Pelodiscus sinensis: one gene and its partner. The protein of the gene in region 2 purifies or fractionates together with the protein of the main gene of each other region. This does not show direct contact. Links are inferred from orthologs where the notes say so. Each region holds a gene or a part of one and is shown on either strand. Other genes may lie near its edges.

The links. Proteins that work in one complex are often made in the same cells at the same time.
Region 1: the proteins of SEC16A (region 2) and SEC23B purify together in Homo sapiens (affinity purification with mass spectrometry; 3 studies listed by BioGRID and IntAct, with this or other methods). This does not show direct contact. The link is inferred for Pelodiscus sinensis from reciprocal best matches to the Homo sapiens genes SEC16A and SEC23B.

Annotation. Positions count from the first base shown.
Region 1 is NC_134713.1:193,975,574-193,983,558, forward strand, and holds the start of SEC23B (protein transport protein Sec23B), read left to right. Parts: upstream 1-4,838; 5' UTR 4,839-4,995; intron 4,996-7,985. Other genes in the region: serine hydrolase RBBP9, read right to left, coding at 542-647, 1,753-1,795, 2,719-2,829. UniProt on the Homo sapiens protein: Component of the coat protein complex II (COPII) which promotes the formation of transport vesicles from the endoplasmic reticulum (ER).
Region 2 is NC_134732.1:20,375,179-20,382,407, reverse strand, and holds the start of SEC16A (protein transport protein Sec16A), read right to left. Parts: upstream 3,042-7,229; 5' UTR 2,882-3,041; intron 1-2,881. UniProt on the Homo sapiens protein: Acts as a molecular scaffold that plays a key role in the organization of the endoplasmic reticulum exit sites (ERES), also known as transitional endoplasmic reticulum (tER).

The DNA.
Region 1 (7,985 bases), on a different chromosome or scaffold from region 2:
TGTCAGAAAAGCCTCTTCTGGAAAAAGATACGCAAATTGAGAACTGCAATTTGTGTATCTTTTTCCACTTCTTTTTTTAGAAAGAACTGCATAGTCTAGGCACAGCCAGAGTAACTGATAAAATCTAACAGCAGGGTTTTGCAATGTCCTTTAAGCAAAGATGGGGCAATATTCATGTAAAGGATTTGGAGAGGTTACAGCTACAGGCAAGTCACCCAAGGATTTTCAGGTGCATCACGTAATGCCATAGCACCCCAACTATTACATTAGATTTAGCTGAGGGTATTTTACTGTGGCTTTCCGTTCCCACTGTTAAATGTCTAGTTCTTCAACAGCAGATAAGCCCTCCAGTACCCCACCACATTCTCAATCCCTTACATATGGTGCTAATCTTGTCAGAAGGATTCTACTCACACTGACGGCAGGGGGCAATTTTGCCATTGAGTTCAAGTGGAGCAGCTCTGGGATCATTAGCTGAAATGGTCATGATCCCATTAGACTGCAAAACTGGAAACTCAGTGCCTTACCCCCTGTACTGTACCTCATGGCAGCAGCAGCCCCAGAGCTGTGTCCAATAAGGATAGTCTGCCCATCGCAGTGCAGTTCTGATTCCATGAATGGCAGCCAGATGTTCTCTCGAGCTGTAACTGATTTGCAGAGAAGAGATTCAATTGCTTTGCCTTTCCTTATCCACCCCCCTCCTCCCCACGCCCAGCTAGCATGCTCTGCATACAGCTCTCTGGGGGATTTTCTCTTTATTTAATTCTTAGTGAGTTTAGTGCTTGCAGAAGGGGTAAGGTTAGCAGCTATGAAGACCAAAGGCCTCTGTTTAGCCCCACTATGAGTTAAACATACACTGCAGCTGTGCCAGTTCCAACCTTGCTACCCCACCTAAAGTAACTCCACATGGACCTGGAGATGTCAGGTTTAAGGGTCAGTGTGAGGTTTAACCTTCCAAGGCTCAGTCTTTGGCCTCTCGAAAACCAGTTCTAATGGGGATGGTGTGGTGGACACCAGTCTGCTGCAAACTGAGCCGAGACAGACACTATTTGTCTAGAACTACTGGCAGCAGTAGCAACCTGGAGTGTGGCCTTCATAAATACTTCCCTGCTAAGCTACCCAGCTCATCCAGGGCCTGGTACAATCTCTGGGGCTTGCAGGACGCAGTCAAGCATGTACTGTCTGCACACGAGCAATGTTCTGCATCACAGTATGTGCACATAAAACATTCAGGAGCATCCAAACCCTCTCCCCAGCAAAGCATTTCAGCAGGCTGTGCGTCTCCCAGGGCACATCTACACAGCAGGCCTTAACTCAGAATAACCTACGCAAATTAAGCCACGTCAACTGCGTAGCTTATTTCAAAATAGCTTATTTCAAAATAGAGAGGATTTACACAGCGCTTATTTCAAAATAGAGCACTCTTCCTTTTGACTTCCCTAACTCCTTATACAATGAGGGTTACAGGAGTTGGAGTAAGAAGTCTTCCAGCTTTACAGTATTTTGAAATTATTTCGAAATAACTACCTGCTGTGTAGATGCGGACTAATTAAGTTATTTTAGTCCGTGTCTACGCAGCAGACAGTTATTTTGAAATAATGTTGCAGTGCAAACATATCCCATTTGGATTGGGGTGCGGGAACTCCCCCGGAATGAAGACAGCCACTGAGATAAAGCAGGCTCATATTCGTTTTCTGGAAATATTGCCAGTGGGATAATGCAAAATACAGGGAGAAGGTAAAACAGACTTACCTGGGTCAGGCATATTTCGAAGTAAACACTGGAAACCAGGTATCTGTGTGGAGAAGACCAATGATTGCATTATCAAAGGTTGTGCAGTCCCTTGGCAAGCAAACTGTTGCAGTGGTTACACTTGCTTTCCTCCAATGGGTCTTCAGGGTTATGTAGATGGGTCTTGCTACAGTGTTAGGTTGAAAGGTTAAATATTTGGGGTGCACTGGGCAGGGGGGAGGGAGTGAGTCCCAGGCACATGGAGAAGATTGAGGGTTTACTTGGTGCTTTGAAAATGTAAAGCACTGCAACTATATTGCACCAGGAGTTGAAAAAGACTGCTGATTTTACAAATATTTCTTGTTTGAATTACCAGCAATCTCTCCCACCCACTCCCAGGGGTCACCAATCACTGCACTCTAGTGTTTGCAAATCAGTCATCCCCTATTTCTGTGTTTTCTCCTCCATGTGATGTCCAGTGGCTGAACTTCATAACAGAAATACCCAAGTGGGAGTATAGAAAACCAAGTGAGAGTCTCTACAGAAAGCACTATCCACTGCAGCCTTCTTCATGCACCCTTCAAATCAGTGCTAGAGAGCTGTGAACAAGCCAGGAGGAGGAGGGGAGAATGTCGCATGACAAAGACAAGAATCACGGAAAAAGTTGCTTACATCTAATGCTGAACAAGCTTTCTTAGCACAAGAAAAACAAGAGTCTCCCTAAAGAGGCTCCCCCTCTCTGCTTCACTGCAGATGTTCTGGCAGGACCCTTCCGCAGCCCCCTCCTGCTTGCCAGCTGTGGATTTAAAGAAAGGGAAGGTATATGCTAAACCACACAAGAGGGAAGCAGAGGTTGGGGGCAGACAACTTCATTAGAAAAAGAAGCCAGGTGCCTGCCTGACTTAGGGTGTTCCAAATAGCTGGTGAGGTAGGCAGGAGCGTAAATAAACAGGTCAGATCAAACCTTTTGCCACTGCCATGTCTTACCTGCCCTAGTCTTTTCCATGCCCATCCGTACCAGTTGCATTTCTCTACATTGCTTGCCCCATTCCCAGGCACTATAACAGCTTTCATGGGAGGAAGCTGCACCTGGGACATGGCTCTGCAGCAGGAGGAGCGGAAACACAGTTTCAAGCCAAGCGGTGTTGGGTTGGCTGGGAGTGGAGGCAGAAAGGAGGCATCTTGGGAGTTGTAGTTTTCTTGGTAGAAAATGTCTCAGTGGGTAGCTGTGTTAGTCGGTAACGTTAAAAACAACAAGTAGTGCTGTGGCACCCTAGATCAGTGGTCCCCAATGTGGTGCCCGTGGGCACCATGGCGCCTGCTGGGCCATTTATGTGCTCCCGCTAAACAATTTGGGCTGGCCCCGCCCCGGGCACATGGCACATGTGCTGTGCCGGCCCCGGGCGCGTGGCGCATGGGTGGCCCCTGTCCCGGGGCCACGGCACATGTCGGTGCCGGCCCCGGGCTCGCAGTGCATGTGCGGCCCCGCCCCAGGGTGCACTGCCTGTGCATGGCCCCGCCCCCGGGCGCCCGGCAGCCCCAAAAGGTTGGGGACCACTGTCCTAGAGACTAACAAGAATGTAGTATCCTGAGCTTTGGTGGGCGAAACCCACTTCTTAAGATGATGATAGGAAATGATTCACAGCATGGTCCTTGCTGTCATTTGTTCCTCTCTGAGTCTAGAAGCCCCCAAAAAACAAGTGAATAAGAGACAAAAGCAACACATCCGAGACCTGAAAATCACAATACAAGCTAGATAGCGTCTTACCCACTACTTGTTAATTCTGTTGGCAGTGTTGTAGCCATGTTAGTCCCGGGATATTAAAGAAATAAGGTGCTGAGGTAACATCTTTCATTGCAACAACCTCTGTTGGGCAGAGAGACAAACTTTCAAGATCTACAGAGCTTTTCTTCCTGTTCATTTTGCTATTGGCATCTTTTTGTTGGGTGTTTGTACAGTGTCTAGCACTAGGTCCTGGTCAGTGATTGGGGCTCCACAGACAGGAACACAATGCAAATTACTATTAACTGTTACTTTGAGTAGATAATATTATCATGAGGGCCCTGAGACTAGAGGAACTTTGCATCCCCTGCTGCTTATTAGGGGGAAGAGATCTGTGCCCCTGCCTGCCCCCTTATGCACACCTCATCCAGCTGTGAGTTTTATCAGTTCTTAGCTAATGGAGAACACCTTATCAAGAGATGGCATCTGGTTTTACCAGCCTTAGCCTTTCATACACAAACAATAGGGGTGTTATTTAATGGCTGCGCAGCCGATTAACTATTTATCTCTAAGACAGTGAAAAATTCCCCTCGTCCATCAAGTCTTGAGTCTTCAAAACTGGATTCATCTTCTACTGACACTAGATGTGAGCTTGGCCCTTGGTCTTCCCGCAAACACCTACCATCACTGCGTGTGTTTTGTTGAATCTCACTTCTCCATCGTTTCATAGCCACCTCTGTCATGCTCCAAGCATCTATTGACGTGGTGGCCGAATATTTATTCCACCCCTCAGGTTTCCCATTTCTCTGCGTTCGTGGGTTTGTGCTGACTCTTTTTGGGGGCACCCCGGGGCCGCGTGGGCCCCCTGATCAGTGTGAGGACCTAGGAGCGGTTTGTGCGGTGCCAATGTGGATGCCCTGTGAGGATGCTTTGTTACAAGGCCTGGGGGACGCACGCTTTGATGCCAGACAAGGGCCTTTGAAGGTGCCGCTTGTTTTAACAGCGCCCGGCAAAGGAGGCGCGTCCCAGGACTGAGGTGCCTGTTGTGTGACTGCACTCTGGGGGGAGGCTGGTGTGTGTGTGCTGGGGGCGGGGAGGTGTGCACTGTTGCCAGGTGTTCCCCCCCCCTCAGGGAGCACAGGGCAGCTCCACCCCCACGCCCCTGCAGCCTCCTAGCAGGGCTGGCTGGAGGGCGGGGCCTGTCTGCATCAGCTGCCAGCGCCCGTGGAAGGGCGAGTCAGCGCAAACCCCGCAAGGGGCGGGGCGTGGAGCCCGCCCGCCATCGTGGCTGAGGGCGGAAGCCCGTATGGAGGCGCGGGTGCCCTTAGCCATCATGGCGACCGCCCTTGGGCGCCTGGGTGCCGCGCGCAGGCGCCGCCATGTTGGGGAAGGGCACGGTCGCGGCCGAGGCGCCCGCGCCGCCATCTCGCTTGCGGGCAGCCCCGCCGCTGAGCTGGCCTTTCCGGCGCGGGCGCTGCCGGGACACGGATCGTCGGGCGCTGCGAAGCGGAGCCGGAGGGGGCTTGTGGCGCCGCCAGCAGGTGGGTCTGGCGGGCGGGGTCCCCCGGGCCAGAAGGGGGGGGTCTGCCAGTGGGGGATGAGGGGGGGGGGTCTCTGGCCAGAAGGGGGGGTCTCTGGCCAGAAGGGGGGGTCTGCCAGTGGGGGATGAGGGGGGGGTCTCTCTGGCCAGAAGGGGGGGTCTGCCAGTGGGGGATGAGCTGAGGGGGGGGTCCCCCTGGCCAGAAGAGGGGGGTGTCTGCCAGTGGGGGATGAGGTGGGGGGGTCTCTCTGGCCAGAAGGGGGGGTCTGCCAGTGGGGGATGAGGGGGGGTCCCCCTGGCCAGAAGAGGGGGTTTGCCAGTGGGGGATGAGGGGGGGTCCCCCTGGCCAGAAGGGGGGGGTCTGCCAGTGGGGGATGAGGGGGGGGTCCCCCTGGCCAGAAGAGGGGGTCTGCCAGTGGGGGATGAGGGGGGGTCCCCCTGGCCAGAAGGGGGGGGGTGTCTGCCAGTGGGGGATGGGGGGGTCCCCCTGGCCAGAAGAAGGGGGGTCTGCCAGTGGGGGATGAGCTGAGGGGGGGGTCCCCCTGGCCAGAAGGGGGGGGTCTGCCAGTGGGGGATGAGGTGGGGGGGTCCCCCTGGCCAGAAGAAGTGGGGGATGAGCTGAGGGGGGGGGGTCTCTCTGGCCAGAAGGGGGGGTCTGCCAGTGGGGGATGAGCTGAGGGGGGGGGTGTCTCTGGCCAGAAGGGGGGGTCTGCCAGTGGGGGATGAGCTGAGGGGGGTCCCCCTGGCCAGAAGGGGGAGTCCGTCGGGGGGATGGGGTGAGGGGATCTCCTGGTGAGAAGAGGGGCTCCTCCCCATTGAAGGTGGGGGTCACTTTCCCCAGGCCACACGAGGAGGGGAAAGGACCCTGCTGTTGATGTCGGGGTGCTCTTCTCCAGGGTCTGTAGCCGAGCGGGGCCGCTACCTGTCCAGGTTCCCCAGTGTTGTCTGGTTTTGGGGGTCACTGTCCTGGGAGTCTCTCTGGGTGTTTGGTGGGCGCTGCCAGCTGCCCAGCGTGGTGAGGAAAGATCATCCTGAATATTGTGGGGGTTTTGTATCTCGAAGGATGTGGCAACCTGAGCGCTCAGAGAATGGGGTGAGGATTCCCCAGGCCACTGTTCTGGGCAGTGAAAGAGGGACGAGGACCCCCCCCATCACTGATTCCTCCATTCTGGGTGGGGTTGGTGTGTGAGGCCACCATGTTGCTATTGGAGGGGGTGGAGGAGTTTGGCATTGGTGTGAGGGTTCCCATATCACTGGTCAAAGTGTGGAGCGGTGTTATATTTTTTGTGTAGTTTTTTTGGTAAATCTTGACTCGCTTTCACAGAGGAAACAGCTACAATTTCTCCTTTTTTAAAAACTGTTTGCCCTGATCATCTCGCTCTCAAGGTAACACCTACAGCCTAACAAACATCACAGAAATGTTCTGAGAACATCTCGGATACAGGCCACATTTAAAACTAAAGTGGCAAGGCGTTCCTTCACTAAACCAGGATAAGCTAACTGTTACGTCAGGAGTAGCCAATTCTGTCAGGTCCTGTTTTGCGATGCTTCCCGTTTGACTCACAGGCTCTGCTCTGCACAGAAACCCTGAGGAAGGAGAGTATCGAGGGAGGATGTGGGAGGGAGCTCTGAACCTGAGGGATGGGGGTTTGAGCAATGAGTGCTGTTTAGTGGGTTTGAGGATGTCCATGCATGCTGTAGGTGCCGCACCAGATAACAATATCAGTTAGTGTTTGCAGCCTATGTTGCGGACAAGTTCAAACAGCTCTGGACAGGGGTGCTGGCACAATTTCTATAGGGTCCTTTGAACCAAACTGTAAATCCTGAATATAATGGAAACTGCTTCAAGTCAGCAGCACCAGCGTCTATGGCTCTGGACCAAACTTTCTGCCTCAGCAAAAGCCGAATTAGTTCTCAGGAGAAAGGGGGGCATGCAAATGTGTCTTTGTCTCTCTCTGTCTCTGGAATTTAGTCCTGGAAGCTTCTTAGAGTTGTGAAGATGTGGGAGTAGCACAGACAAATCACTGTAGATCAGATCTATTTCTTTGCCAACTGGACACAACCATTGGGGTGGGTTATGGACCGTGTTGAGAGCTAATTGTAAATGTTTCCTTTCTGTGGGACACAGTGCTAGTTTTGCATAAAAAAGCATCTGCTGCTCCGCCCTCAACTCAAAAAGACACCTGATGCTGACTATTTCTTACATATCTTTCTCCTATGTCTGATGAAGTGGGTTATGCCCTAATCAATATGTTAGTCTCTAAGATGCCACAGGATTCCTCATTGTGTCTTACATGGTTAACGCTCTGAGGAAGAGTGTCTATAGCAGTGGTTTTCATTTGCAGAACCCTAAAAAATGTCAAGTGGATATGGACCCCTTTGGAAACTCATAATCTGCAAAACCCTAGGAGTCTGTGTTGACAGGTTGAAAACCACTGAAATAGAGGATAGTCATGAAACAGTAGCAGTACGTGCGTTCTTCAGTCTCTTTGACCTCCATCAGGTCTGTTTTGCATTGGGTGTAACATAGAAACTGCATTAGTGGTCTTGGTTGATTGTCTCCTGTTGGTGGATAGTGATTAAGTCAAATTCTTTTTGCTCTCTAACTATCCTCAATGCCATTGACAAATCACGTGAACATGGATTCTAACAGAGACTGATATGGTCTTGCCTTGAGCACTTCTGTGTTTTCTTTTCTGAGAGGTCTCAAGGATTTTGGGTAGTTTGTGTCCCGAATATGATCTCGTGTGGGGTTCCCAGGGTTTCATCTTGTCATGTCTGGTTCAGTGTGTATGTGGTGCTGCTACAGCAGCGAGGGGCAACCTAGGCTCATGAGTGACCCTCCTTCATCTCTGAGGGCTGCAGGATTGTTGTAACCAAAATGGTTTCCCGGGATAGGGTAGTTTTGCTAACTGCACTTACCTAGAATTTGCGAATGTGCGGCTTGAACTGTAGCAGCGCTTTGATAGGATGCAGAGGGTGAGCCCAGCT
Region 2 (7,229 bases):
TGCTCCTAGGATCAAGAACATAGACCTGAATATGCAGCCCTCGGACAACAGCAACATCAACCTTTCCACCAGTTTGGAAAGGAAGTAACTAGTTAATTAGGTCAGTGGTTCTCAACTTTTTCAGGCAATACTCAGCCATTATCAGCTGGTACTCACAGTTTCTTATTCAATTATGCACAGGGCTAAGAAGGTGCAAAAGTCTGAAAAAAGGAAGAATCGGATTTTCAAGAGATCACTTTACATGTCTTCTTAAAAACAAAGGCATTTACACTGTATGACACTTTTAAAATAGCCTTAATTCACCACATCTACCTGCAAGAAAGACCTGCAACTTATACACACAAACACCTACTGTGGAGCTTGGGTTGCCTCAACACAATCCAATAGGTGGGGGGACAGAATCTTCAACTGCCATCTTTGCAAATTCATCTGACTGTATAAACCTATACATTGTAACATCTGAGCCTCACCATGTCACAATATAATGAAATGTCATATCAGGGACCCCATTCCAATTTCAGGATTTCCAAGAAATCCCTTTTCTACAACTGTTTCTATTGCTTACAGGACACAAAGGCATCCTAAGGAAAACCAGAATTGTCTAGTTTGGGTACCATGATATGGGAACCAATATGACTATATATGAGAAGTTGGAGTAATTGTAGGCAGTCAGTCCCTGAAGTACCCTGTACTGGACCTTCCACCCCTAATGACTATACAGCATACTGACTCGACACCCATCACTCAGTAAGGCTACGTCTAGACTACATGCCTCTGGCGACAGAGGCGTGTAGATGAGGCTACCAGGCATAGGAAAATGAAGCGGCGATTTAAATAATCGCCACTTCATTTAAATTTACATGGCTGCCGCGCTGAGCCGATCAGCTGTTTGTCAGCTCAGCGCGGTAGTCTGGATGCGCGGGTGTCGACATCAAAGGCATTTGTCGACCACCCAGGTAAACCTCATCCCAGACTACCGCGCTGAGCCGACAAACAGCTGATCGGCTCAGCACGGCAGCCATGTAAATTTAAATGAAGCGGCGATTATTTAAATCGCCGCTTCATTTTCCTACGCCTGGTAGCCTCATCTACATGCCTCTGTCGCCAGAGGCATGTAGTCTAGACGTAGCCAAAGTGCCTTGCAATCTTTAACTTATTTAACCTTTAGCTAAGGATGTGAAAGTGTAAGCATTTACATGGTTAATCAATGGCTTGAGCTTATTGGTTAACATGCATGGTTACAAGCAAGCCCCACCAGCCACTGCTGATATAGAGGCTGCAGCACCGGAGGGAAAGAGGCAGGCAGAAAACGGTACACACATTGCCAGCATGCAACGTTTCCTCACAGATTCCGACTCCTGTGGAGTTGTCTTCCCTTCCTCTCTCTGTGTTGCTGCATCTGTATCAGATGCAGCAGCGTGCTGATGGAGAGCAAGCGAGAGCTGGCACTCGCAGAGAGCTGGCTTAAAAGTTGCCTCTCAGCACAGACTCCTAGGTAGCCGCTTTGCGTGTAAATGTGTAACTGCTGAAAGTTAAAGGCATTTTAACATCTTTACATATAAATCCCTGCTTGATAGGGAAGTGCTCAGATCTCTATTTTACAGGTAGAGAACTGAGGCAGAGCATCTAAGTGATTTGCCCAAGGTCTCCTAAAGTAGCACCTTACCCACAAAGCATTCCTGTCTCTCAATGTGAGGTGTTGCCTCCACATTTTACACCCACAGCCCAGCACCCCTGTACCCACATTCCCAAGAATACGCCCCCCTCAAGATAGCTAAACAAATTACTTCCAGACTTCTCCCATGCAACATCTGCATCTCTTAACGCCAGAGGCCTCAACAAGTCAGGCGGCACCCTTAAAACCCCAATGTCCTCACTTCATGGCCCTACATCTCCTAGACCAAAGCTGCTTCCATTTTCCATGGCCCCCTAAACCACACCTAGACTCTACTACGAACCTTCACTTCCTCTCCACCCCCCAGCTTCCCTCGCCCCCCCGCTCTCTGCCCCTCCCCCCAGCTTCCCTCGCCCCCCCGCTCTCTGCCCCTCCCCCCCAGCTTCCCTCGCCCCCCTCTCTGCCCCTCCCCCCAGCTTCCCTCGCCCCCCCACTCTCTGTCCCTCCCCCCCAGCTTCCCTCGCGCCCCCCGCTCTCTGTCCCTCCCCCCCAGCTTCCCTCGCCCCCGCTCTCTGTCCCTCCCCCCCAGCTTCCCTCGCCCCCCGCTCTCTGTCCCTCCCCCCAGCTTCCCTCGCCCCCCCCACTCTCTGTCCCTCCCCCCCAGCTTCCCTCGCCCCCCCCACTCTCTGTCCCTCCCCCCCAGCTTCCCTCGCCCCCCGCTCTCTGTCCCTCCCCCCCAGCTTCCCTCGCCCCCCCACTCTCTGTCCCTCCCCCCCAGCTTCCCTCGCCCCCCGCTCTCTGTCCCTCCCCCCAAGCTTCCCTCGCCCCCCGCTCTCTGTCCCTCCCCCCCAGCTTCCCTCGCCCCCCGCTCTCTGTCCCTCCCCCCAAGCTTCCCTCGCCCCCCCCACTCTCTGTCCCTCCCCCCCAGCTTCCCTCGCCCCCCGCTCTCTGTCCCTCCCCCCCAGCTTCCCTCGCCCCCCGCTCTCTGTCCCTCCCCCCCAGCTTCCCTCGCCCCCCCACTCTCTGTCCCTCCCCCCCAGCTTCCCTCGCCCCCCGCTCTCTGTCCCTCCCCCCCAGCTTCCCTCGCCCCCCCGCTCTCTGTCCCTCCCCCCCAAGCTTCCCTCGCCCCCCCCACTCTCTGTCCCTCCCCCCCAGCTTCCCTCGCCCCCCCGCTCTCGGTCCCCGCCAGCTTCCCTCGCCCCCCCCGTTCTCTGACTCTCCCCCCCAAGAGCTTCCCCAACCGGTGCCCGCCCAAGCGCCGCTCACCTGGCGGATCCCGGCGGGCCCCTGGGGCGCGCGCAGCAGGCGAGGCCCGGTCAGCAGCAGGCGCCTCCCCCCCTCACAGGAGCCGCAGCAGCAACAATCGCCACCATCTTGGAATATCCGGCTCCAATGGCCACCGCCGCCGACGTGTCACGCTCCGCACGCGGTGACGCAAACACGTACGCTCCGGCGCCGCACACATGTCATTCCTTTCCGCTCTTCGTTGAGGCGCTTAAAGGGATCGTCGGTTGGGGGGGGTGGGTAAACTCAGCTGCGTCGGCGGACAGAAAACCTAACCATCCCTTTAGGATTCGGCTCTCACGAGCGGCCGTCAGCCCAAGACGGCCAGGAGTGTGAGCATGCGCATTGGTGGGGAACGCTAACCAATAGGGCTTCTGGAGACTTGAGGTTGGCAGGTTCGAGCCCCCGGCAGGGAGCTTTCGGGGAAGCTCTGGCCAGACTGAGCAAAATTCAACTGTTATTCCCGGCTGGGCTGTGCAGTATGTCAGGCCTGCCCACCCAGACCCTACCTCCTTGGGGCACTAGGATCCCTGCCATTGCATCTGGCCTGCTCACTTGCATTGGACTGGCAATGCATTATTAAACACAGCCTTTGGGGCAGATGCTGGGGAGCGGGTGCCTGCCTCTCCAGTATCCCCTGCACTGCACGGGCTCAGGGGTCCTCCCTTCAGGCCCATGCAAAAGCCTGCAGGCCTGGGAGCGCTGTCAGCCCCTGTACTGACAGCCCAGGTGCTGCCTGGGACAAAGATGTCTGGCTGCAATGCTAGCTGGGCAGAGGCGAGCACGGACTAAACTGTAAACATAACACCAAAGGGCAGAACCGAACCTGGGATCTCTGCAGCTTAGTGCAGGAGCTTCTGCAGCTTAAACTATAACAGCAGCTTGCTCTGAGCTAAGGCTGTAGAGCATGATAGAGAAATGACACCCCATAAGCCAGATCCGATCCACAGGGTTAGACCCTGGTGGGCCGCTGCCGCTATGTTTGCCTGCACCTCCACAGGTATTGGAGGATTGCAGCTTTTGGCTGCGAATTGCCATTGACGGCCAATGCAAGTGGGGCAAACGGTGTCCTGGTCCGTGCCGCTCCCATTGGCCACCAACGGCAATTCGCACCCAGCAAGAGCTGTGATTACCCAACACCTGTGGAGGCGCAAATAAACATAGCGGCAGAGCCCGCTGGGCTGCCATTTTATTGCCCACCCCTGTGGAGAGCAAACTCATTCTCTCTCTGTAAGTGGTCTCAGTGCCAGTACATGGGACAGTGAATCATATCCAGTAGGTGTGTGGGTTACACCTGTGTGACCAGAACCCTGATCTGCAGAACTTCCCTGATCTCCCCAAGGTGTCACCAGGCACAGCTGGGGGAAGTCGTGGAAAGTAGGCACTACAGGAAGCACTGCCCAAGGGACGCAGCGTGACCATGCCCTCCAAGGGCACATCTACACAGCAGGGCTAAAGTCGAATTAAGCGGTGCAACTTCAGCTACATCAACTCAGCTTTAGGCGCTGTCTACATTGCAGGAAGTCCAAGGAAGAGCACTCCTTTCTCCTCGTGAAATGAGGGTTACCGCGAGTCAGAGTAAGAAATCTTCTATCATATCATAGAATCATATCATAGAACCATAGAACTGGAAGAGACCTCAGAAGGTCAAGTCCAGCCCCCTGCTCTAGGCAGGACCAATCCCAACTAAATCAACCCGGCCAGGACTTTGTCAAGCCGAGACTTAAAAACCTCTAGGGATGGAGACTCCACTATTTCCCTAGGTAACTCATTACAGTGCTTCACCACCCTCCTAGTGAAATAGTTTTTCCTAAAGACATTATTTTGAAATAAAGGCTTGTCGTGTAGACACGCTCTTTCTTATTTACTAGTGACGTCAGTTATTCTGAAATAACACTGCTGTGTAGACATAACCCAAGTGGCCACGTGCACTGTTTAACCCTGGAGGGTGCGCAGAACATTATCTGGGAAATCACCTAGATTTCTGTGATTCCAAACCTCACGGCTACGTCTACACTGGCCCCTTTTCCGAAAGGGGCATGCTAATTTCACAGGTCGTAATAGGGAAATCCGCGGGGGATTTAAATATCCCCCGCGGCATTTAAATAAAGATGTCCGCCGCTTTTTTCCGGCTTTTAGAAAAGCCGGAAAAGAGCATCTACACTGGCCCCGATCCTCCGGAAAAAAAGCCCTTTTCCGGAGGATCTTATTCCTATTTCAAAGTAGGAATAAGATCCTCCGGAAAAGGGCTTTTTTTCCGGAGGATCGGGGCCAGTGTAGACGCTCTTTTCCGGCTTTTCTAAAAGCCGGAAAAAAGCGACGGACATCTTTATTTAAATCCCGCGGGGGATATTTAAATCCCCCGCGGATTTCCCTATTACGACCTGTGAAATTAGCATGCCCCTTTCGGAAAAGGGGCCAGTGTAGACGAGCCCCATCTGATCTCCCAGGGTGGCTGGAACCATTTGTTTAGTGGGCGTTGTGATGGTGCAGTTCATATTCTTTATAGAAATACGCTTATGAATATAATCAGGGCTCGACAATTAGGGCAATCTACTCGCCCGTGGTGAGTAGATTTTAGCCCGGCACGGCGCCACAGCACGGTCTGCACATGCGCAGCGTGCCGAACCGTGCAGCTGGCGAGCAGGGCTCGCCGCCGCTTGTCAAGCCCCGAATATAATTATGCATAATTGGAAAATGATTTATGCAAAATACTTATTGCACGGTATCACTGGAAAAGTTATAATCCGCAAAATGTGTATATTGTGTTTGTGTCCATGTATTATTCCCATATTGGAAATCAGCAATAGGAAGTAGTACCCTGTGTTACTGATGTAGGCATGCTTAGTAGGGGCCATTAAGGGAATTTCAGAAACTTGAGGGCTCATTGCTAAGGAAATGGGTTTTTTTTCTATGAGCCAGCCCCTAGGAGAGTCCCCACAAGGACCATTAGCGATTTAGTATTTTTCCACAAAGTGGGGGAGGAGGAGACTGGCCAACAAACAAAGTCTTCCCACCTTCTGGACAACCTATTTAAAGGGAGAGGCTCTGGAGCAGGGGTCACCAAACAGTAGATCGGGATCTACTGGTAGAACTTGGAACCTCTGACAGGTAGGGTTACCAGATGGGTTTCAAAAAAAATACCGGACACACATGATCTCAGAATGGGGGGACTGGCCGGGAGGGGAGCAGGGCTGGCCGCGAGAGGGGTGGGGGGAGCGGGGCTGACCAAGTGAGATTGGGGGGGGGGGGGGAAGAGGGGACCAACCAGCAGGAAGCAGGGCTGGCTGGGAGGAGGTTTGGGGGGAGCGGAGCTGGCCAGGGGGGAACTGACTGGCAGGAAGCAGGGCTGTCCGGGAGGGGGTTGGGGGAAGTGGAGCTGGCTGGGGGGGAAACTGGCTGGTGGGAAGCAGGGCTGGTCAGGAGGAGGCTGGGGGGAGCGGGGTTGGCTGGGGGAGATCGGGGGAAGGAATTGGCCAGCGGGAAGCTGGGCTGGTCGGGAAGTGGTCGGGGGGAGCGGGGCTGGCTGGGGGGGGAGTAGGGTTGGCCGGGGGGGGAACCAGCTGGCGGGGAGCGGGGCTGGCTGGGGCGGAGCGGGGAGGAGGAACCAGCCAGCGGGGAGCAGGGCTGATCCAGGCGCACACAGATCCCGGGGTGCTGCCCGTCCCGCGCATGGTCCTGGCGGGGCACACGGGCGAGTCCGGCCCTGGGGATTCCATCCCGCCTCCGCCCCCCTCCTCTCTACTGCCTGGCTGGTGGACATGCTCACGCAGTGTGAGGGTGTTGACCAGCCAGGCAGTACGCAGCTACGTACTGATACTCCTGATAACAGAACTTACAGAATTAGAAAACACCCGACATTTCTATCTCCGCTATTTTCTCATTTGTTTCCCGGACAGAAAGCTCAAATACCGGACTGTCCGGTTCAAAACCGGACACCTGGCGACCCTCGTGGGGCGGCCTGCAGAGCGCGGGGGCAGAGGCAGTTCTGTACTCCAATCGTCTGGGCTTCCTCTGATCGGCTAACTGCCCTGCTGACGGGCCATCCTGACTGGTCTGGCCAAGACGCTATCAAGCGCCTGCACTTCAGGTGCCCTTCCCCCCACTGCTGCGCATCTTCGGCCCTTTGCCTCGGAGCTGCTTCCCTCTACCCCTAGGAGCCTCCTGCTTGCTGGGCAGGGCAGGGCAGGGCAGGGCAGGGCAGGGCAGGGGGAGGAGGGGTGCTGATGTCAAGGTGCCCCCACCCCATTCTCTATCCTTGCTCCATAGAGCAGAGAGAGGGCACGACAGGACTTGGGAGGGAGTTTGCTGGCCGCATTGGAGAGTGGTG